Linked DNA regions of Saccharomyces cerevisiae S288C. Each later gene encodes a partner of the first gene's protein in a complex. Each region holds a gene or a part of one and is shown in the gene's direction. Other genes may lie near its edges. The genes, in order: CBK1, SSD1 and MOB2.

The links.
Region 2: the proteins of CBK1 (region 1) and SSD1 are in contact, whole or in part, in a crystal structure (PDB 5NCL), measured with the Saccharomyces cerevisiae proteins. Residues at the interface, in NP_014238.3 of Saccharomyces cerevisiae: Asp450 (codon at 6,594), Val451 (codon at 6,597), Arg453 (codon at 6,603), Phe454 (codon at 6,606), Phe672 (codon at 7,260), Arg673 (codon at 7,263), Gly674 (codon at 7,266), Val675 (codon at 7,269), Ile680 (codon at 7,284), Glu684 (codon at 7,296), Ala685 (codon at 7,299), Pro686 (codon at 7,302); in NP_010579.1 of Saccharomyces cerevisiae: Phe211 (codon at 4,952), Lys212 (codon at 4,955), Phe213 (codon at 4,958), Pro214 (codon at 4,961).
Region 3: the proteins of CBK1 (region 1) and MOB2 are in contact, whole or in part, in a crystal structure (PDB 5NCL), measured with the Saccharomyces cerevisiae proteins. Residues at the interface, in NP_014238.3 of Saccharomyces cerevisiae: Met266 (codon at 6,042), Arg270 (codon at 6,054), Arg271 (codon at 6,057), Leu274 (codon at 6,066), Leu275 (codon at 6,069), Thr276 (codon at 6,072), Gly278 (codon at 6,078), Thr279 (codon at 6,081), Lys282 (codon at 6,090), Ala283 (codon at 6,093), Ala285 (codon at 6,099), Val286 (codon at 6,102), Lys287 (codon at 6,105), Lys289 (codon at 6,111), Ile290 (codon at 6,114), Glu291 (codon at 6,117), Phe293 (codon at 6,123), Tyr294 (codon at 6,126), Ser297 (codon at 6,135), Val298 (codon at 6,138), Ala301 (codon at 6,147), Arg304 (codon at 6,156), Arg308 (codon at 6,168), Glu312 (codon at 6,180), Leu329 (codon at 6,231), Gly333 (codon at 6,243), Glu336 (codon at 6,252), Ser337 (codon at 6,255), Gln338 (codon at 6,258), Leu340 (codon at 6,264); in NP_116618.1 of Saccharomyces cerevisiae: Glu98 (codon at 4,412), Pro99 (codon at 4,415), Leu105 (codon at 4,433), Thr112 (codon at 4,454), Ile113 (codon at 4,457), Pro117 (codon at 4,469), Lys118 (codon at 4,472), Tyr119 (codon at 4,475), Val120 (codon at 4,478), Asp121 (codon at 4,481), Glu124 (codon at 4,490), Trp125 (codon at 4,493), Ala127 (codon at 4,499), Leu128 (codon at 4,502), Phe131 (codon at 4,511), Glu132 (codon at 4,514), Asn136 (codon at 4,526), Gln139 (codon at 4,535), Phe140 (codon at 4,538), Val143 (codon at 4,547), Glu146 (codon at 4,556), Tyr147 (codon at 4,559), Asn194 (codon at 4,700), Lys196 (codon at 4,706), Phe199 (codon at 4,715), Pro200 (codon at 4,718), Thr201 (codon at 4,721), Lys202 (codon at 4,724), Asn203 (codon at 4,727), Gly204 (codon at 4,730).

The regions. Positions count from the first base shown.
Region 1 is NC_001146.8:327,351-338,863, forward strand, and holds CBK1 (serine/threonine protein kinase CBK1), read left to right. Parts: upstream 1-5,246; coding exon 5,247-7,517; downstream 7,518-11,513. Other genes in the region: GTPase RIA1, read right to left, coding at 1-2,723; YNL162W-A (uncharacterized protein), read left to right, coding at 2,979-3,197; 60S ribosomal protein eL42 RPL42A, read left to right, coding at 3,972-3,975, 4,488-4,804; YGP1 (Ygp1p), read left to right, coding at 9,195-10,259; ASI2 (Asi2p), read right to left, coding at 11,128-11,513. UniProt on the Saccharomyces cerevisiae protein: Protein kinase that seems to play a role in the regulation of cell morphogenesis and proliferation.
Region 2 is NC_001136.10:1,040,809-1,053,713, reverse strand, and holds SSD1 (mRNA-binding translational repressor SSD1), read left to right. Parts: upstream 1-4,321; coding exon 4,322-8,074; downstream 8,075-12,905. Other genes in the region: HDA2 (Hda2p), read left to right, coding at 1-1,091; sphinganine-1-phosphate aldolase DPL1, read left to right, coding at 1,486-3,255; SRP101 (signal recognition particle receptor subunit alpha), read left to right, coding at 8,703-10,568; HRQ1 (ATP-dependent 3'-5' DNA helicase), read right to left, coding at 10,753-12,905. UniProt on the Saccharomyces cerevisiae protein: Can suppress the lethality due to deletion of SIT4, and partially the defects due to BCY1 disruption. Is implicated in the control of the cell cycle G1 phase.
Region 3 is NC_001138.5:62,516-67,999, reverse strand, and holds MOB2 (Mob2p), read left to right. Parts: upstream 1-4,006; coding exon 4,007-4,026; intron 4,027-4,140; coding exon 4,141-4,984; downstream 4,985-5,484. Other genes in the region: MIL1 (Mil1p), read right to left, coding at 1-2,523; 60S ribosomal protein eL22 RPL22B, read left to right, coding at 3,068-3,079, 3,401-3,757; RPO41 (DNA-directed RNA polymerase), read right to left, coding at 5,163-5,484. UniProt on the Saccharomyces cerevisiae protein: Functions as an activator subunit for the CBK1 protein kinase. Part of the regulation of ACE2 activity and cellular morphogenesis (RAM) signaling network. Required for coordinating polarized cell growth during interphase with the onset of mitosis.

The DNA.
Region 1 (11,513 bases):
CCTTCGCTAACAGCCAGTTGGAAGCCATTTTTGATGGAATCTGAATACTCAAAGGCTGCTGGAGTACCTTCAAATAGGCTTCCAAGAAGATTATCCTGCGACAGCAAAATGTTGCACCCAACTCTACTTGGCCCAAAACCTGCTAACTTTACTTTAAACCCACTTAATAGTTCTCTGCTCTTCTCCTCCTGATTTATGACCTCTTCAAAAGCAACGAGTAAAGACTTTTTGTCTAGAAAAGAACTTCCAGTTGATTCTATGACGGGATCCATGCTTGAAGTGGACGTCTTCAAAATGTTTTTAATGCTATTTTGATGTTGAGATAAAAAGTCTGTAACTTTACCGCTTAATGGGAACGTTCTGAATGTAATCTTGTACTGGCTCAATAGTAGTTCATGAACACCCCTTCCCAGCTGTGAATTCTGCGGTGGATTCATATCTGAGGCTGATAAAAATGTTTCCCTATATGGAATAGCCGGTTCAGAATGTGTAATTTCTATTCCTGCAAATCTCTCTGTTAAATCTTTTAGGCATCTTTCTAAATGTAATTCACCGGCCGTACACAGAATGTGTTCACCAGTATTTTCAACGTATGTGTGCACGCAAGGATCTGCTTGATCCAACAACTTTAATCCTCGTACCAACTTGCTCATTTCCACAGGATTGGCTGGCTCCACAGCAACACGAACGATTGGCGTAAAATGGAAATTGACGCCCGCTAGATTGACGCCTTGTACGCCCTTCTCTATCAACGTACCACTCTTTAAAACTTTACCGGCCAGACCACGAATACCGACTATATTTCCTGATGGACAAACGTCCAAAGGAACCAATTCCTTACCCATAAACAAATATAAATGCGTAATAATCGCAGTTTCAATATGCTCCTCTGGACATTTTGGATCATATTTTGGACCCAATACCGAAATCTCCTGACCAACTCTTAGTGTGCCACTGTATATTCTTGCAAATGCTACCAAGCATTCTTCCTTTTCGTCAAAAATATCATCTACTTCATCGTTCACATCCTCTGAAATTTGCTTAATACTCTCCAAAAGTGGATCTTCTTCCTCATATTCAAACATTGAACTTAGAGGGTCATTTGGATCTATGTCAGTTGGTACAAAATCTAGGCCGAAGTTATCTTGACTATCTGAATCATCCTCCCCCTCATATTCAAATTCTAAATCCAAGGCGGAAGAAGGCTCTGAAACAACACAGAAAACATCATTATTTCTTGAAGGTTTTGGCTTTGTCTGTTCTCCTACTTCGGGGGTCATAACGGTATCTTTTGCTCTTTTATATAAATCTGATGTATTTTTAGAATTGTCATTCAAATCCATCATTGCCATATTTTCTACCATACCAGCATGTTTTGCAGCATTAAGTGCTTCCTCACGTGCCTTTCTACTTCTCTCCATCAGCTCATCCGAAGATGCTATCCTCTTAGATTCAACAGGTAATTCTTCTCTAGGAATTGAAAGCATCTTAGATACGTATGCACTAACTGGTCCTTCTTTATCACATGTCTTCATGGCTTTCAGAAGTCTTGGATCCATGGCTGCTGTGTCGGATTCGGAGACCAAAATAGTGTTCAAACGATCGGTTTGTGATTCCAAAGGTGAAGGTAATTTTTCAATAACTGTTAACAATACTGCTGTGCTGACGGGTAGCCATTGACCCATGATAGTTCTTAACAATTGTTTATCGTCCTTCGACCTTAGATCACGTGCAAGTAGCTTAATATTTAAAGTTTTTGCTATTTTTTCGACCATTTCAGAATCTCTCGATGTGATTATGTTTTGATAAATTTTCCATATATTTTCGAGGATTAGCGATGTGAAAAGGGGTTTCAGGGATCTTCCCTTAAGGCCTTTATTGTTAATAATTTTTTTTGTCTTGGGATCCATATAGAAATCACCCCATAAAACTTTCTGTAGGTTTTCCCTTTTAGCGCCTAATTTTTGTTCGTAAAATTTGGCCAATTGACCGATGTTGAAACCCCAACCATCAATTGCGGAAGCAAAAATAACGTTGTTATCAGTAGGGTTAAAGTAAATACCCGAATCATCCTTTTCAATATATTCCGCGTTTTCGTTCTTTTCTAATTGCTCCCTCCAAAATAAATCATCCAATTGTCTCTCGTTTGCGAAAAAGGACCCGATAACTGAGTTGACTTGTTCAATGACTTTGGACAAGTGAATATAAGCTTCTTGGGGAGTTAGTTGTAGTTCTGTGATCAATCTATCAATCTTATTCAATACTAAAATGGGCTTCAGCTTCTCCGTCCAACATTGTCTCAACACTGTGACGGTTTGCGAGCATACCCCCTCTACGACATCAACCAGTACGACAGCACCATCACATAGTCTTGAAGCTGCACTGACCTCACTTGAAAAATCAATGTGACCTGGGGAATCAATTAAGTTTACTAGATGCTCGCTTACAAGAGGCTCATCGGAACCTTCTTGTTTACGCAATACCCTAAAATATAAAGAGATAGCCGATGATTCCATTGTGATACCACGTAGTTGTTCGTCAGGCCTGGCATCTAAGAATCGAATTTTGCCGGCAAGCCTTTGTGATATAATACCATTCGAAGCCAAAAGAGAATCTGAAAGTGAAGTTTTACCGTGATCAACATGAGCAACAATACATATATTTCTTATACAGGAAGGGTCATTTTGCAGACGTTTGTAAGTCTCCGATTCCACTCTAGGCATATTTGCTTATCGTGCTTAGAAAAATAACTGAGTTTGGTTATTTTATAAACTATTTTGATAATCTTGATGATGTACAAAGATTGTATTTCGGGTGCACCTATCTATCAATATTCTTGGCTCTTAAGTTCCCATTTTTCAAAATTTCTTTTCTCGTAGGAAAAAGAAAAAGGAAGCGATGAGCTGAAAATTCCACTTTACAATATATCGAATATCCAGTATACCAAAACTACATACAAACGAACACGTCATTAAAAGATGTCTGATAAGCCCGACTCCCAAGTATTTTGTCCAAATTGCAATGAAAGACTTCAAAAGTGTTTAGTACAGCAAAATTATGCCATTATAATATGTCCCAGCTTAGTCTGCGGCTACCCATTCAATCAAAGAGAAGTACTCGAAAATCTAACGTATGTAGACGATAATGACGTCTTAAAAGTTGCAAAAAAAAGATTATCTTCACGAAGCAAACCATAAAATAGTTGCACTATTGCTGTTCATTATCTTTCATTATCCCTAGTAACGCCATTGCAGAGTCAAATATGAGCGATAACAATATAAAGAGCAATAACATGATAGTTGAAATTAACATAAAAGAAGCGACATAATTAAAGGTCTCAAAGAGTGAAGATCAAGTATCCGGTTTTTACGAATAATCTACTTTCTATGTGAAACCCAAAAAAGTTCGTACAAGGAAAACTAAAAAGTGTGTAATAACTTGTCTAGCTTTGGCATTAAAACTTGTCAATTATTCATCACCAATATAGACTAATGCGTTTTGGAACGCCAAACCGCAGTGACAAATAGCAAATATGTAGCTGTCATATCGGCATATAATAACAGTTTTCTACCAAATGCTGTCCTACATTCAGAGATCTTACATCCTTACATCTAAAGTAAAACCTAGACATTTACTTCGAGTTATACTTTTTTTTTATTTATCTATTTTTTCTCTTGCGGACATTTAACACCTGAATTCCGCCTAACGCCAGGACTGATCCTGCCAGGGAAGGGAGCTTTGTCTAGTGCCAATAGGCCGGACCAGTAGGAAGGTTACAGCAGCTGGCCCGCAGAGTGATTGGGTCACAGGAAATAGCGCAACCTTCTCTTTTGCCCGGGAAAGGCGGTTCAATCTACCTTCGAAGGGCTAGTACATGAGCGCGAAGGAGGCAGATAATAGCACCATTAAGTGGTCCAAATGCATCTTGAAATCTAATCCTTAATAGAGGAAAACAACAATTATCAGTAAAAATGGGTATGTTATAACCATAATTCCTAATGGTGAATAAAATCAGGACCAATAAAGAAAAGCTAATTTGATTTTTATTGTCAATGAAATTTCATAATCGTCATGAATGCATAAACAGACACACCTAGCAACTGTATAATCTGCGCCTAAAAAGGGCGTATACACAAAACTAAACGATGCGCAATAAAAGTTCAGCAGTCAGCAATGAAACCGAGATATGCAGCAACAGAGTATCATATGCATGGAGGATCCTTTCTGTTTTTCTGATAATATGCTCTGAAAAAGCTCCAAACAGCACAGTAGCCTATTTGTGAAGCTCAAAAAAGGCTTCTATTTCCCTCGCTATCTTCAGATTGTGCAGTGATATTCTTTGAGGAAGGAAACGTAGAGGGGATAAGTTGGATAACTGTTATTTCTTTTCAATATGCTAGATTTTGCTTACCACCTTACTGATTTTTTCTAATAATAAACTTTTTTACTAACATTAGTACGATGTCTCATCTATTTCTTCTATTTAGTTAACGTTCCAAAGACCAGAAAGACCTACTGTAAGGGTAAGACCTGTCGTAAGCACACTCAACACAAGGTTACTCAATACAAAGCTGGTAAGGCTTCCTTGTTTGCCCAAGGTAAGAGACGTTATGACCGTAAACAATCTGGTTTCGGTGGTCAAACCAAGCCTGTTTTCCACAAGAAAGCTAAGACTACCAAGAAGGTTGTTTTGAGATTGGAATGTGTCAAATGTAAGACCAGAGCCCAATTGACCTTGAAGAGATGCAAGCACTTCGAATTGGGTGGTGAAAAGAAGCAAAAGGGTCAAGCTTTGCAATTCTGAATCTCTTTATGGGTTTCGCTTTTGTATTTTCTTTGCTTTAAAATCTGATATAATTACATATTATTACAATATAAAACTTTACGATAATTCCTGCAACTAATGATGCGTTAGTACGGTTCGGGCGCTCTAGGACGCGTGTCGGTCGGGTAACCATCATTCTTATTCGACGAAAATGATTAGTTTCCAGAGAAGCAGTTGCACTCCAGTTTGATCTGCAGTCCAGCGACTATTTTTAACATTCAAAGATCATTTTTCGTTTGAATAGTTGAGCAAGGTCATATAAATTTCTATATCACACGAATAAGGGTTCAGATATTGCTTTATTATCGGCGAACACTGATATTACCACATAGATATCGCTCTTTTTTTGAAACGTAAGCGTAAATTTCAGTATAGGTACACGTCTGCGCTGATCCTTCTGTAATCCTCTGCAGTTTTCGCAATGTATAATAGCAGCACCAATCATCATGAGGGTGCACCTACTTCAGGACATGGCTATTATATGTCCCAACAACAAGACCAACAGCATCAACAACAACAACAATACGCCAACGAAATGAATCCGTATCAGCAAATTCCTAGACCGCCTGCTGCAGGATTTAGTAGCAACTACATGAAAGAGCAAGGCTCTCATCAATCGTTACAAGAGCATTTACAACGTGAGACAGGTAACCTTGGCAGCGGTTTTACAGACGTTCCAGCCCTGAATTATCCAGCCACACCACCACCACATAATAATTACGCAGCTTCAAATCAGATGATCAATACCCCACCGCCGTCGATGGGTGGTCTTTATAGACATAATAATAATTCCCAGAGCATGGTTCAGAACGGTAATGGGAGTGGGAATGCACAATTACCCCAATTATCACCGGGCCAATATTCTATAGAGTCAGAGTACAATCAAAATTTAAATGGCAGTTCTTCTAGTAGTCCGTTCCACCAACCGCAAACGCTACGGAGCAATGGGTCATATTCAAGCGGGTTAAGGAGTGTGAAAAGCTTCCAGAGGTTACAACAAGAACAGGAAAATGTCCAAGTTCAGCAACAACTTTCCCAAGCACAGCAACAAAATTCCCGGCAACAACAGCAACAACTTCAATACCAGCAGCAGCAACAACAACAACAACAACAGCAACATATGCAAATACAACAACAACAACAGCAGCAACAACAGCAGCAGCAATCACAATCTCCCGTTCAGAGCGGCTTTAATAATGGTACCATATCAAACTATATGTACTTTGAAAGACGACCAGATTTGTTGACTAAAGGAACGCAAGATAAAGCAGCAGCTGTAAAGTTGAAGATTGAGAACTTTTACCAATCCTCTGTTAAATACGCCATTGAAAGAAATGAAAGAAGAGTGGAGTTAGAAACAGAACTAACTTCTCATAATTGGTCAGAAGAAAGGAAATCTAGGCAATTGAGTTCTTTGGGTAAAAAAGAGTCACAATTTTTAAGGCTGCGTAGAACGAGATTATCGTTAGAAGATTTCCACACTGTGAAAGTCATTGGAAAAGGGGCATTTGGTGAAGTCAGACTGGTTCAGAAGAAAGACACCGGAAAAATATATGCAATGAAAACTTTATTAAAATCCGAAATGTACAAAAAGGACCAATTAGCACACGTCAAGGCTGAAAGGGATGTTCTGGCTGGAAGTGATTCTCCATGGGTGGTTTCGCTATATTACTCATTCCAAGATGCTCAATACTTATATTTAATCATGGAATTTTTGCCCGGTGGTGATTTGATGACCATGCTAATCAGGTGGCAACTATTTACAGAGGATGTTACTAGATTTTACATGGCTGAGTGTATTTTGGCCATCGAAACCATTCATAAATTAGGATTCATTCACAGAGATATTAAACCAGATAATATTTTGATCGATATTAGAGGTCATATAAAATTATCTGATTTCGGGTTGTCTACGGGGTTCCATAAAACTCACGACTCAAACTACTATAAAAAGCTTTTGCAACAAGATGAGGCAACTAATGGTATTTCCAAGCCAGGTACTTACAATGCAAATACAACCGATACTGCAAATAAAAGGCAAACAATGGTTGTGGATTCTATTAGTCTAACAATGTCAAACAGGCAACAAATTCAGACATGGAGAAAATCACGTCGTTTAATGGCATATTCTACCGTAGGTACACCAGATTATATTGCTCCTGAGATATTTTTATACCAAGGTTATGGGCAAGAGTGTGATTGGTGGTCACTTGGAGCAATTATGTACGAGTGTCTGATTGGTTGGCCTCCATTCTGTTCCGAAACTCCACAGGAAACGTACAGAAAAATCATGAATTTTGAGCAAACTCTACAATTTCCTGATGATATTCATATCTCTTATGAAGCCGAAGATCTAATCCGTCGACTATTAACTCATGCAGACCAAAGACTTGGTAGACATGGTGGTGCAGATGAAATAAAAAGTCATCCATTTTTTCGCGGTGTTGATTGGAATACAATCAGACAAGTAGAAGCACCGTATATACCAAAGTTGAGCTCCATCACCGATACTAGGTTCTTCCCAACCGATGAGTTGGAGAATGTTCCAGATTCCCCAGCTATGGCACAAGCTGCCAAACAAAGGGAACAGATGACAAAGCAAGGTGGAAGTGCGCCAGTCAAGGAAGATTTACCTTTTATTGGCTACACTTACTCCAGATTTGACTATTTGACAAGAAAAAATGCGTTGTAGGGACGCGTTAAGGACATTCCTCTTTATTCAAGTATTTATCTATGGATGTAGAACGCACATTATGAATAAATAACTGCACTTTTTTCGGGAAAAAAATTACCAAAATAGACATCAGCTTTATCATATGTCTCCTTGAAGTATTTGAACGACCACCTTTCCGAAGACAATGTACCTAGTAACCTACAGGCTGCCCTTAATCCATACATCCACGCACAATAGCACAATCTCGGTGATGGCTGGTTTTTTTACCTTGAAAAACAAGAAAAATGGCTGATGTAGTTGAAAAAGGTAAAAGAGATGGCAGATCAGGGGACGATTTTGTAGAGGAAGTATCTATATATATCGACCATATTGAAAAAAATATGAAATAACATACACACGTGTAAGAATATATAATTTTTGTTATTAACACGTCGTAAAAGAGAAAAGATCGTGCTTTCATCACGCGCTTCCTCTCGGCCTTTCGAACTATAAATTATAAGATGATCCAGTCTTACAATACTGAATGAAACTCAGGGAAGACGATAGCGGAGGTTCGACAACCGATCACTGTAAAACCTACACTTTCAAGTTCATTAATCGTCGCTTGAAAGATCGTCATAACCAAATATTGCTAGAAACAAAAGCGTTCGGGATAGGTCAAACCATGATGAACTAGTTCCACACGCATATCTTAAAGCGTGCTATTTTTTAAAAAGGGCAAATTTAGGAATGTCTGACGGAATCCCTAATCATCTTTGGCTTTTCCCTTCACTCCCTTCTTTTACCGACGATGGTTTGAAGGAAAGAGAAAAATGAGCAATAGGAAAATTCAGTAGTCGATTTCCATTTCAATTCCCTATTGGGTAATGTGGCGGCGAGGGCTAAACATTCGGTATCATTGATTCAATGTTCTCACAATGTTCAAATTCTCGGATCGGGTATCCCTAATTGGGATCTCTTTCCAGAGGAAGGGGCCTTGATGTGGGATTGAAGACACATGAGTTTTTTTCTCACCGTCGAAACTTTTGCTTACCCGTAAAACATCGGCCATTCGTTGGTTTATTATGTGACTTTTTTGTGACTTTTTTTTTTGCGAAGTTTTCTCGTCATCCGCGGAAGATCCGGCGGGCGAAAAAGTCTCTCACTTTTACCCAATCGGGGCATGTTATGTGGACATGTTATGTGTCCAAGAGACACATGAGCCCAAAAAGGGTACACTGTCTAAATAGTTTACCCTTTACGAATCGAAACTTCTCGAAGAAGGGGCCGAAAATTAGCGCAGAAGTTGACGAAAGTTTATACTTTTCCTAATGGAGAGGCTCAGGAGCTGAAAAGGGATATATTCGTACTCTATTGCATCTTCAAACTCCGAAGAATCTCAGTAGGGAGTGAAGCCGGCTTCTCGATGCTACAGTTCAACATCGATACTTTGAAGAAAGAAAGCGCCTATTATATCTCTTTTACCCTATTAGTAATAATTAGGAAAAAGGGAGAAAAAAGTACCTCACTAAAAAAACCATCATCTCTGAAATATAAAAAGCTTGATAGAGGGTGACATTTGCTAGAACTTCTGCTGTGTTCTCTTGGGTTATTGCTCTTATTGAATATCCCTTCTATTTCTTTCTTGCTTGTAAAAAATCAGCTCAAAAAACATCTACAGGATTAATCGTCAGTTAAGTAATACAGTAATAGAAAATGAAGTTCCAAGTTGTTTTATCTGCCCTTTTGGCATGTTCATCTGCCGTCGTCGCAAGCCCAATCGAAAACCTATTCAAATACAGGGCTGTTAAGGCATCTCACAGTAAGAATATCAACTCCACTTTGCCGGCCTGGAATGGGTCTAACTCTAGCAATGTTACCTACGCTAATGGAACAAACAGTACTACCAATACTACTACTGCCGAAAGCAGTCAATTACAAATCATTGTAACAGGTGGTCAAGTACCAATCACCAACAGTTCTTTGACCCACACAAACTACACCAGATTATTCAACAGTTCTTCTGCTTTGAACATTACCGAATTGTACAATGTTGCCCGTGTTGTTAACGAAACGATCCAAGATAAGTCATCCGCCGGTGCCGTTGTTGTTGCCAACGCCAAATCTTTGGAAGCTGTCTCATTCTTCTTCTCTATCATTTTTGACACCGAAAAGCCTATTGTTGTCACTGAAGATTCCGCTTATGCCATTCCAGTCGCTAACAATAAGAACGCTACCAAACGTGGTGTCTTGTCCGTCACTTCTGACAAATTAGTGTACTCCGGTGTCTTCACTCCACCTACTGCTTGTTCTTACGGTGCTGGTTTGCCTGTTGCTATCGTTGATGACCAAGACGAAGTTAAATGGTTCTTCGATGCTTCTAAGCCAACTTTAATCTCTTCTGACTCGATTATCAGAAAGGAATACAGTAACTTCACTACTCCTTATGGTCTATTAGAAAACGGTGTTCCAATTGTTCCAATTGTCTATGACGGTGGTTACTCTTCCAGTTTGATTGACTCCTTGAGTTCTGCCGTTCAAGGTTTGGTTGTTGTTTCTTCTGGTTCTACCAACTCAACCTCATCTACTATTGAAAGCACTGAAATCCCAGTCGTATATGCTCAAGCTAACACTCCATTAAACTTTATTGACAACAAAGATGTTCCAAAGAACGCTGTGGGTGCTGGTTACCTATCCCCAATTAAGGCCCAAATCTTGTTGTCCATTGCTGCCGTTAATGGTGTCACCTCCAAGTCCGCTCTGGAAAGCATTTTCCCATGAACTGATAGATATTAAATCTAGCGAAGCATAGAGATTCTTTTTTTACCAGTCATCATAACCATTATTTTACAAAATTTCCACGCAACAGCTTTTATTTTCGTTCGTAATAGGAACCATACTTCCCATTAAAGCAGTATGATTGTTTTATACACCTTTTTATTGTTATTTAAGACATACCCCAAATAATTAATTAATTAATTGATGAAAGAATCATATAAATTCTTGGCCATACATATTTTTTTATTATCTTTTGCTACATTGACCATAGGTGAATATCTTCCCGGGGTGACACTCCACTGAAGTGGGAAAAAAAGAAAAGTTTTAAAACATTGCTCACCTTAAGTCTCGAAGGTCTAGCATTCACTACCTGTAAGTGTCAAGACCCCACATGTATACATGGATACAATAAAGAAACAATGTCCGTATAATTTGTATACATTTTACTACAGATAAGGGATCTCACCCCCTTCTTTTGTGTCTAAGTGAAATCTTCTGATATATTTAGTGTTTTATAGCGTCCATGTTTTAAACTAGAACGGCAAAATAGTAGTTGTTGTAAACGCTTATTTTCGAGACATCAGGTAAAAAGGATAGTTAAATCTTACAATCAATGCATGTAGTGAGTGGCGTTTATCAATAGTTTTTAACAATTCCCATTTTGAAAGAAGCCCACAACAACCCTAGTAGTTCGTTAATATACGTTATGATGGTCAAGTGTCACAGTACGGAAAGCTTGCAAACAGCTCTTACATAGAGGAGTTGCTTCAAAATAAACGTCCTCTGGTGTCAAGTGTCTCATACAGCGACCACATGCGAAAGAAACTACTACAGATAAGCAAATACACAAATTATAATCGTGGATTCATCATCAGAATACGCCTGGCCCTGTAATCCTTTGGCTCACCAACATTCGATGGACACCTTTATATCTTCTAATAACAGTGAATAATAGACACAATACGAAGAAAAACCCAGCGGTAACCATGTAAACGGTACCACTTACGCCATAAGCTAAATAGATCAGAATGGTAGAGACTTTGACAAATAGCTCGAAAGCTTTAGCGAACATTAGTCTTATCCAATTTAAGTTGGGTTCATTGCCATCTCTACTTTTCATAATATGTTTTATCACAGGTGAAGAGTAAAATACAATGATGTTATGAAACTTTCCAAGCAACCCTAATTTACCAGTATCCTTATATGCTATTAATGTCGTGCCACCAGAACCAAATATCTTGGCAAATTTCCAGTATC
Region 2 (12,905 bases), on another chromosome or scaffold:
AATCGTCGCATTTGAGCAATAACGGTCATGTCGATGATAGCCAAGAATATGAAGAGATCAAATCCTCCTTACTATATTTTTTGCAAGCAAGGAATGCTCCGGTGAACAACTGTGAGATTGATTATATTAAATTGGTAAAGTGTTGTTTAGAGGGGAAAGATTGCAATAACATTTTACCGGTTTTGGATTTGATAACGTTAGATGAGGCCTCCAAAGATTCGAGCGATTCTGGGTTTTGGCAGCCTCAATTAACAAAATTGCAATATTCGTCTACAGAATTGCCCCTTTGGGACGGACCATTGGATATCAAAACCTACCAAACAGAGTTAATGCATAGAGCCGTCATAAGATTGCGAGATATACAGGACGAGTATGCCAAAGGCACTGTTCCACTGTACGAGAAACGATTAAACGAAACTCAACGGCAGAACCAGTTGGACGAAATAAAGAATTCTGTTGGTCTTACATTCAAGAAAAAACAAGAAGTGGAAAAATCCATTAATGACTCTGAAAAAAGGTTGAAGCATGCGATGACAGAATCTACCAAGCTACAAAATAAAATAAATCACTTACTGAAAAATAGGCAGGAACTAGAGAATTTCAACAAATTGCCCTCGAATACTATTTCATCAGAAAATCATCTGGAAGAGGGATCTGCCTTAGCAGACAAGTTGAAGGAATACATAGACAAAAATGCGACTCTTTTTAATAAGTTAAAGGAACTCCAACAAGCAAATGCGGAAAAATCAAAGCTCAATGATGAACTACGTTCCAAATATCAAATAGAATCTTCAAAAGCCGCAGAGTCCGCGCAAACATTGAAAATTTTGCAAGAATCAATGAAGTCTTTAGAAAACGAAGTTAATGGTCCACTGACTAAATTTTCCACAGAAAGCTTGAAGAAGGAGCTGGAACGTTTACAGAATGATTTTCAGTCGCTTAAAGCAAGAAACAAATTCTTAAAGAATTACATAACCTTAATGAACCGACAGTACGACTTAAAAAACAAAAACAACGTCCAGGTGGAAAAAGCTGCCGCAAATGGTACACGGTTTAGATCAACAAGATCCAATACCCCTAATTACACATGAATGTGACGTTTCCTAAAAGAAGTAGCCTGTATAATATAGAGAGATTTTATATACTTTCTTAATGAATTAGACTGTTTCTACAAGTATTTGACACTGGAAAAAAAGAGAAAGTACATAGAGATTGGCCAAATATTTAAATCTACACAGTTGCCTATCGTTTATCGCCTTATTCTTCAGAAACATTTCATCAACTACTCTGGTGCATTATTTCATGTTAGTTACCATATATACCGGCCGGCCGCATCGGGGTTTTTTGATTGAAAAAATTGGTATATTTTCAGTACACATATAAATAAAACCCTCAATTTGCCTCTCCAACCGTTATAACTATTCCAGATCCTCTTTACCGAGCAAGTAGGCTAGCTTCTGTAAAGGGATTTTTCCATCTAATACAATGAGTGGAGTATCAAATAAAACAGTATCAATTAATGGTTGGTATGGCATGCCAATTCATTTACTAAGGGAAGAAGGCGACTTTGCCCAGTTTATGATTCTAACCATCAACGAATTAAAAATAGCCATACATGGTTACCTCAGAAATACCCCATGGTACAACATGTTGAAGGATTATTTGTTTGTGATCTTTTGTTACAAGCTAATAAGTAATTTTTTTTATCTGTTGAAAGTTTATGGGCCGGTGAGGTTAGCAGTGAGAACATACGAGCATAGTTCCAGAAGATTGTTTCGTTGGTTATTGGACTCACCATTTTTGAGGGGTACCGTAGAAAAGGAAGTCACAAAGGTCAAACAATCGATCGAAGACGAACTAATTAGATCGGACTCTCAGTTAATGAATTTCCCACAGTTGCCATCCAATGGGATACCTCAGGATGATGTTATTGAAGAGCTAAATAAATTGAACGACTTGATACCACATACCCAATGGAAGGAAGGAAAGGTCTCTGGTGCCGTTTACCACGGTGGTGATGATTTGATCCACTTACAAACAATCGCATACGAAAAATATTGCGTTGCCAATCAATTACATCCCGATGTCTTTCCTGCCGTACGTAAAATGGAATCCGAAGTGGTTTCTATGGTTTTAAGAATGTTTAATGCCCCTTCTGATACAGGTTGTGGTACCACAACTTCAGGTGGTACAGAATCCTTGCTTTTAGCATGTCTGAGCGCTAAAATGTATGCCCTTCATCATCGTGGAATCACCGAACCAGAAATAATTGCTCCCGTAACTGCACATGCTGGGTTTGACAAAGCTGCTTATTACTTTGGCATGAAGCTACGCCACGTGGAGCTAGATCCAACGACATATCAAGTGGACCTGGGAAAAGTGAAAAAATTCATCAATAAGAACACAATTTTACTGGTCGGTTCCGCTCCAAACTTTCCTCATGGTATTGCCGATGATATTGAAGGATTGGGTAAAATAGCACAAAAATATAAACTTCCTTTACACGTCGACAGTTGTCTAGGTTCCTTTATTGTTTCATTTATGGAAAAGGCTGGTTACAAAAATCTGCCATTACTTGACTTTAGAGTCCCGGGAGTCACCTCAATATCATGTGACACTCATAAATATGGATTTGCACCAAAAGGCTCGTCAGTTATAATGTATAGAAACAGCGACTTACGAATGCATCAGTATTACGTAAATCCTGCTTGGACTGGCGGGTTATATGGCTCTCCTACATTAGCAGGGTCCAGGCCTGGTGCTATTGTCGTAGGTTGTTGGGCCACTATGGTCAACATGGGTGAAAATGGGTACATTGAGTCGTGCCAAGAAATAGTCGGTGCAGCAATGAAGTTTAAAAAATACATCCAGGAAAACATTCCAGACCTGAATATAATGGGCAACCCTAGATATTCAGTCATTTCATTTTCTTCAAAGACCTTGAACATACACGAACTATCTGACAGGTTGTCCAAGAAAGGCTGGCATTTCAATGCCCTACAAAAGCCGGTTGCACTACACATGGCCTTCACGAGATTGAGCGCTCATGTTGTGGATGAGATCTGCGACATTTTACGTACTACCGTGCAAGAGTTGAAGAGCGAATCAAATTCTAAACCATCCCCAGACGGAACTAGCGCTCTATATGGTGTCGCCGGGAGCGTTAAAACTGCTGGCGTTGCAGACAAATTGATTGTGGGATTCCTAGACGCATTATACAAGTTGGGTCCAGGAGAGGATACCGCCACCAAGTAGCTATATAGAATCAAATCTCATACATAATTTAAAGAACGAGAGTGCAATGTGATGATTGTGATTCCTGATCCTATGTCACGGACGACGACTTGTATCACCTTGAATTTTCTGACCAAAGGGGCCGAGTCGCTTCACGAGGGGATGAGAAAGGAAAAGAAGGGAAAACTAAACTTATATAACGCAGGTGTGTCTTTCTACCATTGCCATCAAGTTATTAAAGGCCACGAACAGGAACGCTAGAGACCTGAGTTTGTCATTTGTTTAGTTCAAGGATTAAATAAACAATCCTTCTACAAATAAGTCCTTTCTTTCACCATCGTCTTAAGACCACTGCCTCCAACGAAAACTAACCTAAAAGAGTTTAGATCACGAGTATTTTCGCTCTTTCCCTCCTTCCCCTGGTTTTTTCTCGTTAGTTCTTTTCATTTAAAAACTCTTCTCTTGTCAAGAATTTAAAAGACGAAGAGTCCAACACCGACTGATTTTCTAACAGCAAAGGAACGAAGTTTTGCCGTGCAAACAATAATTTCTAAATTATAATTTTGAGCCTAGCTGAGAAATAGGAGAGATTATATTTTAGAAAGGTAAGAAGTTTTTCTGTCATTCCTTTTAGAATATTTGCTACGTTCTAACATTTTTTGTTACTCAAGCGCATTTTCTGCAACTTCCCTTATAAGCTATTTCCTTTTTTTGGGACCGATCCTTTCTTCTGTCTTTGGTAACCTAAAAACCGGAATAGTCAAAGTTATCTGCATAGTCTTCTTGCCAGGCTTATTTTCGCCATACCATTTTTCTGGTACCCTAAACATTTTGGTCTTATTTTAGAACAGCTGGTGCCTCGTTTTTCCGCATTAGGCGCACTTTTTTCATAGCCACTATTCTAAAAGAAACAACTTTTTTTCAAAGGGAAATCTAAGTTGCCTGCACGAAGAATAAGACAAGGGTTCATAAACGTATAGTATTTGCCAAGTTCCATCTTTTTCTTTGTCACTTTAATATCGCAAAACAGAACACCAAAAACCTTTCAGCGCAAAGATTTGGCCCAATTATTCCATCTTTATACACTATGTCTAAAAATAGCAACGTTAACAACAATAGATCCCAAGAGCCAAATAACATGTTTGTGCAAACCACAGGAGGTGGTAAAAACGCCCCAAAGCAGATTCATGTTGCACACAGACGTTCCCAAAGTGAGTTGACAAATTTGATGATTGAACAATTCACTTTGCAGAAGCAGTTGGAGCAAGTTCAAGCACAGCAGCAACAGTTGATGGCTCAGCAACAGCAATTGGCACAACAGACAGGACAATACCTGTCAGGAAATTCTGGCTCTAACAATCATTTCACGCCTCAACCGCCTCACCCTCATTACAACTCAAACGGTAATTCACCTGGTATGAGTGCAGGTGGCAGCAGAAGTAGAACTCACTCCAGGAACAACTCCGGATATTATCATAATTCATATGATAACAATAACAATAGCAATAATCCTGGGTCTAACTCACACAGAAAGACGAGTTCACAATCCAGCATATATGGCCATTCCAGAAGACATTCTTTAGGTCTAAATGAAGCGAAAAAGGCTGCTGCGGAAGAACAAGCTAAAAGAATATCTGGGGGTGAAGCAGGCGTAACTGTGAAGATAGATTCTGTTCAAGCTGATAGTGGCTCAAATTCTACTACAGAACAATCTGATTTTAAATTTCCACCACCACCAAATGCTCATCAGGGCCATCGTCGCGCAACTTCAAACCTATCACCTCCCTCTTTCAAATTTCCTCCAAACTCTCACGGGGATAATGACGATGAATTCATAGCAACCTCTTCAACGCACCGCCGTTCAAAGACAAGAAACAATGAATATTCTCCAGGCATTAATTCCAACTGGAGAAACCAATCACAGCAACCTCAACAGCAGCTTTCTCCATTCCGCCACAGAGGATCTAATTCAAGGGATTACAATTCCTTCAATACCTTAGAACCTCCTGCGATATTTCAGCAGGGACACAAACATCGTGCCTCTAATTCATCAGTTCATAGTTTCAGTTCACAAGGTAATAATAACGGAGGTGGACGTAAGTCCCTATTTGCACCCTACCTTCCCCAAGCCAACATTCCAGAGCTAATCCAAGAAGGGAGACTAGTAGCTGGTATATTAAGAGTTAATAAAAAGAATAGATCGGATGCCTGGGTCTCTACAGATGGCGCTCTTGATGCGGATATTTACATTTGCGGCTCCAAAGATCGTAATAGAGCACTTGAAGGTGATTTAGTCGCGGTAGAACTATTAGTTGTGGACGATGTTTGGGAGTCCAAGAAAGAAAAGGAAGAAAAGAAGAGGAGAAAGGATGCCTCTATGCAACACGATCTAATTCCTTTGAACAGTAGTGACGATTACCACAACGATGCATCTGTTACTGCTGCAACAAGCAACAATTTTCTATCTTCTCCCTCCTCGTCTGATTCGCTAAGCAAGGATGATTTATCCGTCAGAAGAAAGAGGTCATCTACTATCAATAATGATAGTGATTCCTTATCATCTCCTACCAAATCAGGAGTAAGGAGAAGAAGTTCATTGAAACAACGTCCAACTCAAAAGAAAAATGACGATGTTGAAGTTGAAGGTCAGTCATTGTTATTAGTTGAAGAAGAAGAAATCAACGATAAATATAAGCCACTTTACGCAGGCCATGTCGTTGCTGTTTTGGACCGTATCCCTGGTCAGTTATTTAGCGGTACATTAGGTTTGTTGAGACCATCCCAACAAGCTAATAGCGACAATAACAAACCACCACAAAGCCCAAAAATTGCTTGGTTCAAGCCTACTGATAAGAAGGTGCCATTAATTGCAATTCCTACAGAATTAGCTCCAAAGGACTTTGTTGAAAACGCTGATAAATACTCCGAAAAGTTATTCGTTGCCTCTATTAAACGTTGGCCAATCACATCTTTGCATCCATTTGGTATTTTAGTTTCCGAACTTGGAGATATTCACGATCCTGATACTGAAATTGATTCCATTTTAAGGGATAACAATTTTCTTTCGAATGAATATTTGGATCAAAAAAATCCGCAAAAAGAAAAACCAAGTTTTCAGCCGCTACCATTAACGGCTGAAAGTCTAGAATATAGGAGGAATTTTACGGACACTAATGAGTACAATATCTTTGCAATTTCCGAGCTTGGATGGGTGTCTGAATTTGCCTTACATGTCAGGAATAACGGAAATGGTACCCTAGAGCTGGGTTGTCATGTTGTTGATGTGACCAGCCATATTGAAGAAGGCTCCTCTGTTGATAGGCGTGCGAGAAAGAGGTCCTCTGCGGTGTTCATGCCACAAAAACTTGTCAATTTATTACCACAATCGTTCAACGACGAACTGTCGTTGGCCCCTGGCAAGGAATCAGCCACGCTGTCGGTTGTTTACACTCTAGACTCATCTACTTTAAGGATTAAATCTACTTGGGTAGGCGAATCTACAATTTCCCCCTCAAACATCTTGTCTTTAGAACAATTAGACGAAAAATTATCTACTGGAAGTCCCACTAGCTACCTCTCTACTGTACAGGAAATTGCTAGATCATTTTATGCTAGAAGAATAAATGATCCAGAAGCTACATTACTTCCCACCCTGTCCTTATTGGAAAGCTTGGATGACGAAAAAGTTAAGGTTGACTTGAACATCCTGGATAGAACTTTAGGCTTTGTTGTAATTAATGAGATTAAAAGAAAGGTCAACTCCACTGTTGCAGAGAAAATTTACACCAAACTTGGTGATCTAGCTCTTTTGAGAAGGCAGATGCAACCCATTGCAACCAAGATGGCGTCATTTAGAAAGAAAATTCAAAATTTTGGTTACAATTTTGATACCAATACGGCGGATGAATTAATCAAAGGGGTGCTAAAAATTAAAGATGACGATGTTAGAGTCGGAATTGAAATTTTACTGTTTAAAACCATGCCAAGAGCTAGATACTTTATTGCTGGCAAAGTAGACCCGGACCAATATGGGCATTATGCCTTGAACCTACCTATCTACACACATTTCACAGCGCCAATGAGAAGATACGCTGATCATGTCGTTCATAGGCAATTAAAGGCCGTTATCCACGATACTCCATACACCGAAGATATGGAAGCTTTGAAGATTACCTCCGAATATTGTAATTTTAAAAAGGACTGTGCTTATCAAGCACAGGAACAAGCAATTCATCTATTGTTGTGTAAAACAATCAACGACATGGGAAATACTACAGGACAATTATTAACAATGGCTACTGTCTTACAAGTTTACGAGTCCTCCTTTGATGTATTTATTCCAGAATTTGGTATTGAAAAGAGAGTTCATGGAGATCAACTACCTTTGATCAAAGCTGAGTTTGATGGTACCAATCGTGTCTTGGAATTGCATTGGCAGCCCGGCGTAGATAGTGCAACTTTTATACCAGCAGATGAAAAAAATCCAAAATCCTATAGAAATTCCATTAAGAACAAATTCAGATCCACAGCCGCTGAGATTGCGAATATTGAACTAGATAAAGAAGCGGAATCTGAACCATTGATCAGCGATCCATTGAGTAAGGAACTCAGCGATTTGCATCTAACAGTACCAAATTTAAGGCTACCATCTGCAAGCGACAACAAGCAAAATGCTTTAGAAAAATTCATTTCTACTACTGAAACCAGAATTGAAAATGATAACTATATACAAGAAATACATGAATTGCAAAAGATTCCTATTCTATTGAGAGCTGAGGTGGGGATGGCTTTGCCATGTTTAACCGTCCGTGCATTAAATCCATTCATGAAGAGGGTATAATCTCTTCTACCAATATCGTCATTGCTGTTTTTCTTGTTTTTCACTTTCGTTCTTTGGATTGTGCTTCACCCCTCAGTATCCCTTCCCTTTGTTTTTATTTCCTGCGAACATTAACAACTGCATGAATTTTGTACTTCTCCTTTTAATCCACGTTCCGGTAAGGCATCATCCAAATTTTTTTATTCGACCTCGTTAAGTCATATATTTTTTCCCAAAAATACATAAAACAATAATGCAGCCTTCTTTTCAATATTTACAACTTTTCAATTTATATTGTCTTTTGTTATTTATACTCTTATATATTAAATTTATTCCGTTACTAAATACCCTTTTGCTGTACAAATATCATCAAAGAGAAGTACTGAAAGCTTACTTTTTATGCGCTGGGTAATTTTTCCGGAAACAATAACGAAATCATCGTCGAGCAATTTTGCTCGTACTTCAGAAACTACTGCGTAAACATTTGAGGTCGTACAATAAGTAGATAGAAATAAATAAACCAATTTTTCGTCAGCGTTTAATCTGTAGCCAAAGATTTGTGGTATTCTCACAGTTTGAATAATATTCAGCTACTTCATCAAGTAGTTTTTTTCAATAGGAGATTCACGGTTCAATAAGTGCATTGATTATGTTCGACCAATTAGCAGTCTTTACCCCTCAAGGTCAAGTACTTTACCAATATAACTGTTTAGGAAAAAAGTTTTCTGAAATACAAATTAACAGCTTTATATCCCAGCTGATTACTTCCCCAGTAACTAGAAAAGAAAGTGTTGCAAACGCAAATACAGACGGATTTGATTTCAATCTTTTAACAATCAACAGCGAACACAAAAATTCTCCTTCATTTAATGCACTATTTTATTTGAATAAGCAACCAGAATTGTATTTCGTAGTGACTTTTGCCGAGCAGACTTTAGAGCTTAATCAAGAAACTCAACAAACACTTGCACTGGTGTTAAAACTCTGGAACTCATTGCATTTAAGTGAATCCATTCTAAAAAATCGTCAGGGCCAAAACGAAAAGAACAAGCATAACTACGTCGATATTCTTCAGGGAATTGAAGACGACCTGAAGAAATTTGAGCAATATTTTAGGATAAAATATGAAGAGTCAATAAAACAAGACCATATCAATCCAGATAATTTTACCAAAAATGGATCAGTACCCCAATCGCATAATAAAAATACCAAGAAAAAATTGAGGGATACAAAAGGTAAGAAGCAATCTACAGGAAATGTTGGTAGTGGGAGAAAGTGGGGCCGTGATGGTGGCATGCTTGATGAAATGAATCATGAAGATGCAGCCAAATTAGATTTCTCATCATCCAACAGCCACAATAGTAGCCAAGTAGCTCTAGACTCCACTATTAATAAAGATTCTTTTGGGGATAGAACAGAAGGAGGCGATTTCTTAATCAAAGAAATTGATGATCTTTTGTCTTCTCATAAAGACGAGATAACTAGTGGGAACGAAGCTAAAAATTCTGGATACGTCAGTACAGCTTTTGGATTCCTTCAAAAACACGTTCTAGGTAACAAAACGATCAATGAAAGTGATTTGAAATCTGTATTAGAGAAGTTAACACAACAATTGATAACCAAAAATGTAGCACCAGAGGCAGCAGACTATTTAACACAGCAAGTCTCACATGATCTTGTAGGCTCAAAAACTGCAAATTGGACCAGTGTTGAGAATACTGCTCGTGAATCTTTAACAAAAGCATTAACTCAAATATTAACGCCTGGTGTATCCGTTGATCTCCTCCGTGAAATTCAGAGCAAAAGAAGCAAAAAGGATGAAGAAGGTAAATGTGATCCCTATGTGTTCTCTATAGTTGGTGTTAATGGTGTTGGTAAGTCAACAAATCTTTCAAAGCTAGCGTTTTGGTTACTGCAAAATAATTTCAAGGTCTTAATTGTTGCTTGTGATACGTTTAGGTCTGGTGCAGTTGAGCAACTAAGGGTCCATGTTGAAAATTTGGCACAGCTAATGGATGATTCACACGTTCGTGGCTCCAAGAACAAAAGGGGTAAAACTGGTAATGACTACGTTGAACTATTTGAAGCTGGTTATGGTGGATCTGACTTGGTAACCAAAATTGCAAAGCAAGCCATCAAATATTCTCGTGATCAAAACTTCGATATAGTGTTAATGGATACTGCCGGGAGAAGGCATAATGATCCTACTTTAATGTCGCCATTGAAGTCTTTCGCTGACCAAGCCAAGCCAGATAAAATCATTATGGTTGGAGAGGCTTTAGTAGGTACTGATTCTGTCCAGCAAGCCAAAAATTTTAATGATGCCTTCGGAAAGGGAAGAAATCTTGACTTCTTTATTATCTCCAAGTGTGACACAGTTGGTGAAATGCTGGGTACTATGGTAAATATGGTTTATGCTACGGGGATTCCTATCTTATTCGTTGGCGTGGGACAAACCTATACCGATTTGAGGACATTAAGCGTAAAATGGGCTGTTAATACATTAATGTCTTAAAAACTGTAATATCATAGTATATATATATATACCACAGACAATGTTATTCAACAATAATAAAGTGTCTTTTTTTCTGTGCATCAACAAGGTGACAGAATGTTGATGTAACTTCTTTCCACCAAGTGAATCTACAAGTAGTAGAATAGAGTATTTATATTCGGTTTACAAACTACAAATAGCGTGCTCATATCTCTTTTTTAATGATTTCATTTGTATGAGTATCGTCTTTCGTAGCTCTTCTAACGTCAATAATCTTAAAATCATCTGAAAAGTTGACATGCTCTGACACAGGAATAACAGTCTCTACTTTTATCTCTGGCATATTTGGCTCTGGACCATCTTTGATAAGATCTATAAAACTATCTTCCGAGTGACCTAGAATACAATGCAAAACGACTTGGGCGCCAGGTTTCGACAGGACCAGGCTGTTTTCCTTACAAAAAGAAGCCGCTACACAGTCAGGACATCCATCGCTGCATGGGCATTCTTCTATTCTTCTTAAACTAGACTCTATAATATCATCAATATGCTCAAACGCTTTAACACACAAGCCAGACCCGTACTTACCGCCCTTGGAATCATAGAATATTAATCTAGCTGGTCGCTTTCGTTTAGTTTGACGTTCTGCAAATTCCTTTTCCGGAGCTTTGCATTCAGTTTGTATTTCATCCACACCCGCCACTATAAATCGCGGTAACATACCCATAATTGCATGTTGCGCCCCGTGAATAGCTCCTGCTACATTTAATTGCTTCTTTTGGCAAATTTCTAAGGCATATTTTGGCATATCTATCCATAATCCTTTAGAATTGATTATTACAGGAGGGTTATGGGTTTCGATGGCATCGATGATCCTCTTGTACTTGTCTACTTTAAAAAAGCCAAATACAATAATTGTAGTCTTGATCTTACCAAAGTAAACAGGAACATCACTATTCCTTAAAGAGCGTATAAGTTCAATTTCCTGTGGATCTACATCTGTAAAGTCTCTTTGGTTGGTTACCCAGTCAACATCTACTCTTTGCACTTTAGCATATCTTTCATCAGGATTAAACTCCTTCACAAGGTAGGGATAGCCTTGGTGAATGAATATACCGCCATCATATAAAGTAAAACTAGTCCTGGATGCTTCTATTTCCTCAATTATTATATTTCTTCCATTTGTTATATCCACTACGGCAAATTGATCTTCTTCTCCGCCTCTCAAAGATACACACTTGGACGGCCATGGTAAAAATCTATTACTGGCGTGGTACCCATCTTGATTGTGATGTAAGCGTTCAACACAGATTTTGCGAAGATGAGATTCAGTAAAGTATTGCTTGTCACGTTCAAAATTTATTGGCAGTTCGAAAGCAGCGCATTGTATGTGTCCTTCCAGTATCAAAATGTTATTGAAATCAAGAACCAAATCTTGATAAGATTCGAAATTATTAACCTCCAGCAAGGATTCTGGATGAGCAACATAATGTTGATCAACAGGCGAGTCACTTGCAACCACGAGGGTTAAAGAATCATTATTTCTTCTTCCAGCTCTACCACTTTGTTGATGAAAATTCGCCATTGATAGTGGGAAACCGCACATCAAGACTGCGTCTAGTCCACCGATATCAATACCAAGTTCTAGAGCATTGGTAGATATGACAGCCTTTAAATTTCCGTGAAACATCTCACGTTCTATTTTACGTCTGTCGGAAGCAGAATAACCACCCCTGTAAGACATGACTTCTGTAACCAGATCCTCACGCCCAGTTTCAATAAAAATATTGCGAACTTCTTTCATCAACAATTCACAAACACGACGAACGTAGCAAAATGCTATGGTTCTTACGTTGTTCAATATCAATTGTACCAATATCTTTGCACTCTCTCTAATGAAATTTTCTCGTTTACGTTCGTGTTGAGGTAAAATTGGAGGATTCCACACCACTAGATGCTTAGCACCTGTAGGTGAGCCATCCTCGTGTATTAGCGTAACCTCATTAATTCCAAACATGTCCTTCATATGTTGTACTGGAGACTTTAAAGTTGCAGAACATGAAATAAATTGTAAACCACTATTTTCGTAAAAACAGTGGCACAGTCTTAGTAAACGTCTCATCACTAATGCCACGTGCGATCCAAATAAACCCTTATATATATGCAATTCATCGACCACCACTAACTTTAGATGGTACAAAAAATGTCTCCAATTTGCATGATTAGGTAAAATGCTGGTATGTATCATGTCAGGATTGGTAAAAATAACTCTAGCATTTTTACGAATATAAGCTCTTTCCTCTGGCTCCGTATCGCCGTCATACGTATCAACCACGGCATTCTTTAGCTCGGGGATCT
Region 3 (5,484 bases), on another chromosome or scaffold:
TTCTATCGTAGAAATACCCATAACAGCACTAAATCCACCAGCAGCAGCTCTAAATAAATATGCTAAAAACCAATCTTTATCCGAATAACCATTTACAAACCTCCCACTAACTACAGATCTTGCCATGACTAGTTGCTCCTTTTTCATGACAGCTGGTGTACCGAATAGATAAACGTTTTCAATCAAACCTAGAGCCTTTTTCTTGCACAATTCGATTAAACAAGAAAAAATGACCCTCGCACCTATTGAGAAGCCAACCAGTGTAATGGGGCGGGCACCTAAATTTCTTGCAATTAGGGTGTCAGCAAGAATTTTGCCTGCAGACCAAGCTCTGTCCAAAGAAACATTCCACGGATTATCTAAAATATAACCCAATTTCGATAAAGCCATCGGCCATTGGATAGAACTGATCAAGGCTGTTAAAACAGTGGCACCCAAAATTTGTTGAAGCGAGGTGGTAAAAATTTCGGTAGCTACAATACTGACCGTTTGACCAATAGACTTTAGCATTTCGGGCTCCCAATATAACGAGTACAGGTCACCTTCAACAGGGTCCACCGTAGAAAATGGCAATCTAACATCATCTTCGTTACCAACCATCCAGCCTGACACTGTTAGGATTAGATTAACCCTTCTATTATTATGCAGTGGCCTGAACTCAAAAGTTCTCACACTTCCCATCCTTTTTGACATACCTCTAGCACCGATGTTGGCACCAATAGCAGTACTTGAAACGGCAACAACAGTGGTACCACCCACTCCGGTCAAGAAACTTGTAGCACCAGTAATACCTATTGTTGACAAACCAGCAGCAATCCCCCCGCCAATGACGGGGGCTAGTAAACCACCACTTAGTCCAAGGACCAAAGAACCACCTACCATGGCAAGTGCGACATATGCCATTTTCTTTCTTCTTTTGCTTCTCCGTCTATTTCTCATGTGATCTTGTTCATCCCATACTTGATCTTCTGTAGATTGTTCCATGTCTAAGGAATCTGTTACTCGTCTTTCAAATTCACAAATTTCCAAGCTAGTCATATTCAAGACTTTGGCAAAATTTATCAACAAAGTCCTTGACCTCGAATCATAGGTGGAGGATTGCAAGCATATTAGGAAAAGATCACATATAATGGTCCACGCCACATCTATATTTAATTTGTCTTGGCTTTTGACATTTTCCGGATCGAGTACTTTTCCTGGAACGTCCGAAGATAACGGTGATTGTTTAGCCTTTGGTGTTTCAGGTGTTGCGGATTGTTCTGGGTCGGGAGTACTAGCCTGTACTGAGCCATTTTGTTCATTTGGACTCATTCGTTCCGTAGTTTCCTCTATACCGTCTTCTTCGTGGTCTCTATCATTCTCCCATGGATTATCAATGCTCTGAGTGGTTTTCAAACATTTACACAAATCTTCCAATTGGATTTTGTGCAGAGAAAGCTTCTCAATCATAACAATTTCTTCTTGAGATATCCCCAAATGATCATATAGCCGTGATAAAACCACAGTTTTCCAAGCAGCCATATCCTTCTGGGTAAACTGTAATCTATGTGCTAGTTTCTTGTGGGATTTAATGTCAATACAAAGACACAGCGTAGCCAAATTCGTGCACATTTGATTTGCCAAAATGTTTATTGCACCTACGTAGGCAAACTTCTCCATATCAGATAGCAGATTTTTCGTTATGTTTAACTGCGAGTCCCGATTCAAGTCGTTCACTGGTTCCACGTCGTCCTCATATTCGTCATAAGAATCATCATCATCGTCATCATTATTTTTTTCATTGTTCAAGGATGTAGTCGAAGGGGAAGAAGTCAAATTTACGGAAGTTTGCGAACTGTTAATTTTCTTTTTCAGTACTTTGTGGTCAAAAAGGAAATCTGTTTTTTTATTTGTTCGATAGGATCGTTGGGCTTGCTGCTCAGCGGCCATTTTCGTATAGTCAAATCTAGAATCATTGACACTTTTGCAATTTTTTCCTGGAGGAACTGTGGGAGACGTCTCAGAGGCTTGTTCTGAGTTTCTAACCTTGGAAGTCAACTCTAGTTCGCCTCTGTGGTTATATATATTGAACGATGAGACAGCGGGCATCTCTTGCCAGCCTCCATCATCTGAATCAGAGTCGGAGTCTGAATTGCTCCTGGACTTTGTACCTGGAACAGGATCCGTATCGTGCACAGATTTAAAAGGGTCCAGCAAAATAGGTTTATCGGCCCGATCAATACCGCTATCTGCTTCATTAGGACTGCACACTGACTGTGATGAGGGAAAACCTGTGCCCTCTTTTCCTGCTTCTCCCTCATGTAAAGCATCTTCGGTTCGTGTTCCGTCTTCTTCTCTTCGTTTAAAAACTTCTTCTTTAGCCTGTGTATGCATAACAGTTAAATCATCTTGATTACTCAAGCCGCAATCATGTTCGGGGCTTGAGTTGGATTCTTCATCAGTATGCTCCCCTGACTCCTTCAAATGCCTCGCTATCTTCAAGCCTTTCAACTGTACACCTAAATCTTCCTCCGAATCGGACATCTTTTAGTACTGTAATGTTTAATCTTCTCTTTTAACTCTGCCTCTATTACGTTCGAGAAACCCTTCCACTATGCTTTCCAATCACTAATAGAATCACTAAAACTAACTGTACCAGCCAGTAAGGAAAATACGAAGCTATTCAAACTCGGAAACAAACTAGCGTATGGTATAATTCTCTATTAGTAGTACACACCCTTTCCTACTACCACGATAGGATCGTTTATTTGCACCGCATTTCCTTTCATATTCTTAAAGCATTAAGGTCGGCAAAATATCGAGACTGCTTTCTCCATGTCAACACCCGTACATATTCAGAGATAACACCCATAAATTATACAAAAAAGTTTCCAAACTTTTTTTTTTAGACAACGCGAGCCGAATGGATGAATTTTTCAAGCAAAAAAGAGCTAATTACCTAAATGATTCATATATGGATTATTAAAGTACACGATTAATTGATAATTATTGATTTTTTTTGAACATCTGGGATCATAAAAACACCGTAGCACAGTAAACCTATATCGTTTCACAAATATCAACCACAATGGCTCCAAACGTACGTTAATTTTCGTTCCTATGTCACAATTAGAGAACATGAAAGAAAATAAAATCTTTAAAAAGTTTGTCTATTCCTACAGTTCATTGAACAGTCCCGCTTTCACAGCGAACTAGTGGATTCCATCTCGAAGTTACATTTTTATGTATTCAGCTATTCTGTATTTTAAAAATTCACCCCTTATAGCTTTAACAGAGGCAATGCGCTTTCTCTAGCTATATGAAGTGATTGTTAATAGCAGTAGGCCAGACATTTTTTCCTCGTCCAAACGACAAGGATGATTTCATCTCAGTTGGGATTACTAACATAAAACTGTAACAGACTTCCAGAAAGCAAAAAGTTATCAAAACCTTAACCGTTGACGTTTCCTCTCCAACTGAAAACGGAGTCTTCGATCCGGCTTCATATTCCAAGTACTTAATCGATCATATTAAAGTAGATGGTGCCGTAGGAAACTTAGGGAACGCCATTGAGGTTACTGAAGATGGTTCTATAGTCACTGTAGTATCCAGTGCCAAATTTTCTGGTAAATACTTGAAATATCTAACAAAGAAGTATTTGAAGAAGAATCAGCTAAGAGACTGGATCAGATTCGTCTCTATAAGGCAAAACCAATACAAATTGGTTTTCTATCAAGTCACCCCTGAAGATGCTGACGAAGAAGAGGATGACGAATAAATAGACACTCACATGTATATTAATTTATAAAATGCTATTCATATCATAATTCACCACCCTTAATATATCCTTTTGTCCCTCTTTTGATTTACATATTTTATTTTTGCAATATGTCACTTCACGAAAATTAGTGAAAAATAGAAAAGAAAAAGAAATGCTTTAGCTTTTGAAACACGAAGATCATCAAAAAACTTTAAGAAAAGCAACTACCCCAATTCCGCAAGCCAACCAAGCATTTATCAGCACATCATGTCCTTCTTCAACTTCAAGTATGTTCACACTGTTGTCGTTTTATTTTCTTCTGGACCTGCGTTATCATTTTACTAACTAGCCAACACACCTAATCAAATCATTTGATCCTACGTGTATACTTTGCAAAACAGAGCATTCGGAAGAAACTCAAAGAAAAATAAAAACCAGCCCCTTAATGTTGCTCAGCCGCCAGCAATGAACACCATTTATTCAAGCCCCCACAGCAGCAATTCCAGATTATCGTTAAGAAATAAACATCATTCGCCTAAGAGGCATTCTCAAACAAGTTTCCCCGCACAAAAGTCTACGCCGCAATCACAGCAATTGACATCTACCACACCACAGTCTCAACAGCAAGAAGCTAGTGAGAGATCAGAATCACAACAGATAATGTTTCTCAGCGAACCGTTCGTAAGAACTGCTTTAGTGAAAGGTTCATTTAAAACAATAGTACAATTGCCCAAATATGTGGACCTGGGAGAGTGGATAGCGTTGAACGTTTTCGAATTCTTCACAAACTTGAACCAATTTTACGGAGTAGTAGCGGAGTACGTAACGCCTGACGCGTATCCAACAATGAACGCTGGCCCTCACACGGATTATTTATGGCTGGACGCAAACAATAGACAGGTTTCACTGCCAGCTAGTCAGTACATAGATTTGGCCCTCACGTGGATAAATAACAAAGTGAACGATAAAAACTTGTTTCCGACCAAAAATGGGCTACCATTCCCGCAGCAATTTTCGAGAGATGTGCAGAGAATCATGGTACAGATGTTCAGGATATTCGCACATATTTATCACCACCACTTTGACAAAATTGTGCACTTGTCATTAGAAGCTCATTGGAATTCATTTTTCTCTCATTTCATTAGTTTTGCAAAGGAGTTTAAGATCATTGACAGAAAGGAAATGGCTCCGCTGCTACCGTTAATTGAAAGCTTTGAAAAACAGGGCAAAATTATTTATAATTAGAGGTGAACACAATTATTATTATTAGTTACCATGGGTCACTCCTATTTTAGACACTTAATATAAACAATTAAAAAGAATGAAAAATAATGCAAACGATAAACGCTAAGTATGTATATATATATATATGTACAAGTTAAATAAAAATAACACAAATAAATTTTAGTTTGTAGTTCACGGCTCACGAGAAAAAATATTGACTGTTTCTCAATACTGTAACATCAAAATCACCTTTAGGTGGGATTTCAGGTAATCTCAACGGTAAAAGAACACTCATACCGCTATTTTCATCTCCACCGTTTTCTAGTTCAAGTGCGTCCAAGTCAGTGATGTCTTCAAATAATGATACAGTTGTAACCATCTTTTCACCAACATTTCTATCTTCTATTAGAGGGCTGTTTAATAATTCTTGCCTTTTTTTCTCAAAATAAATTTCATCTGCTAATGTAGTACTTCTTCCTAATTTTCTGGATAAATCTTTACGGATTCTAATAATCTTTTGA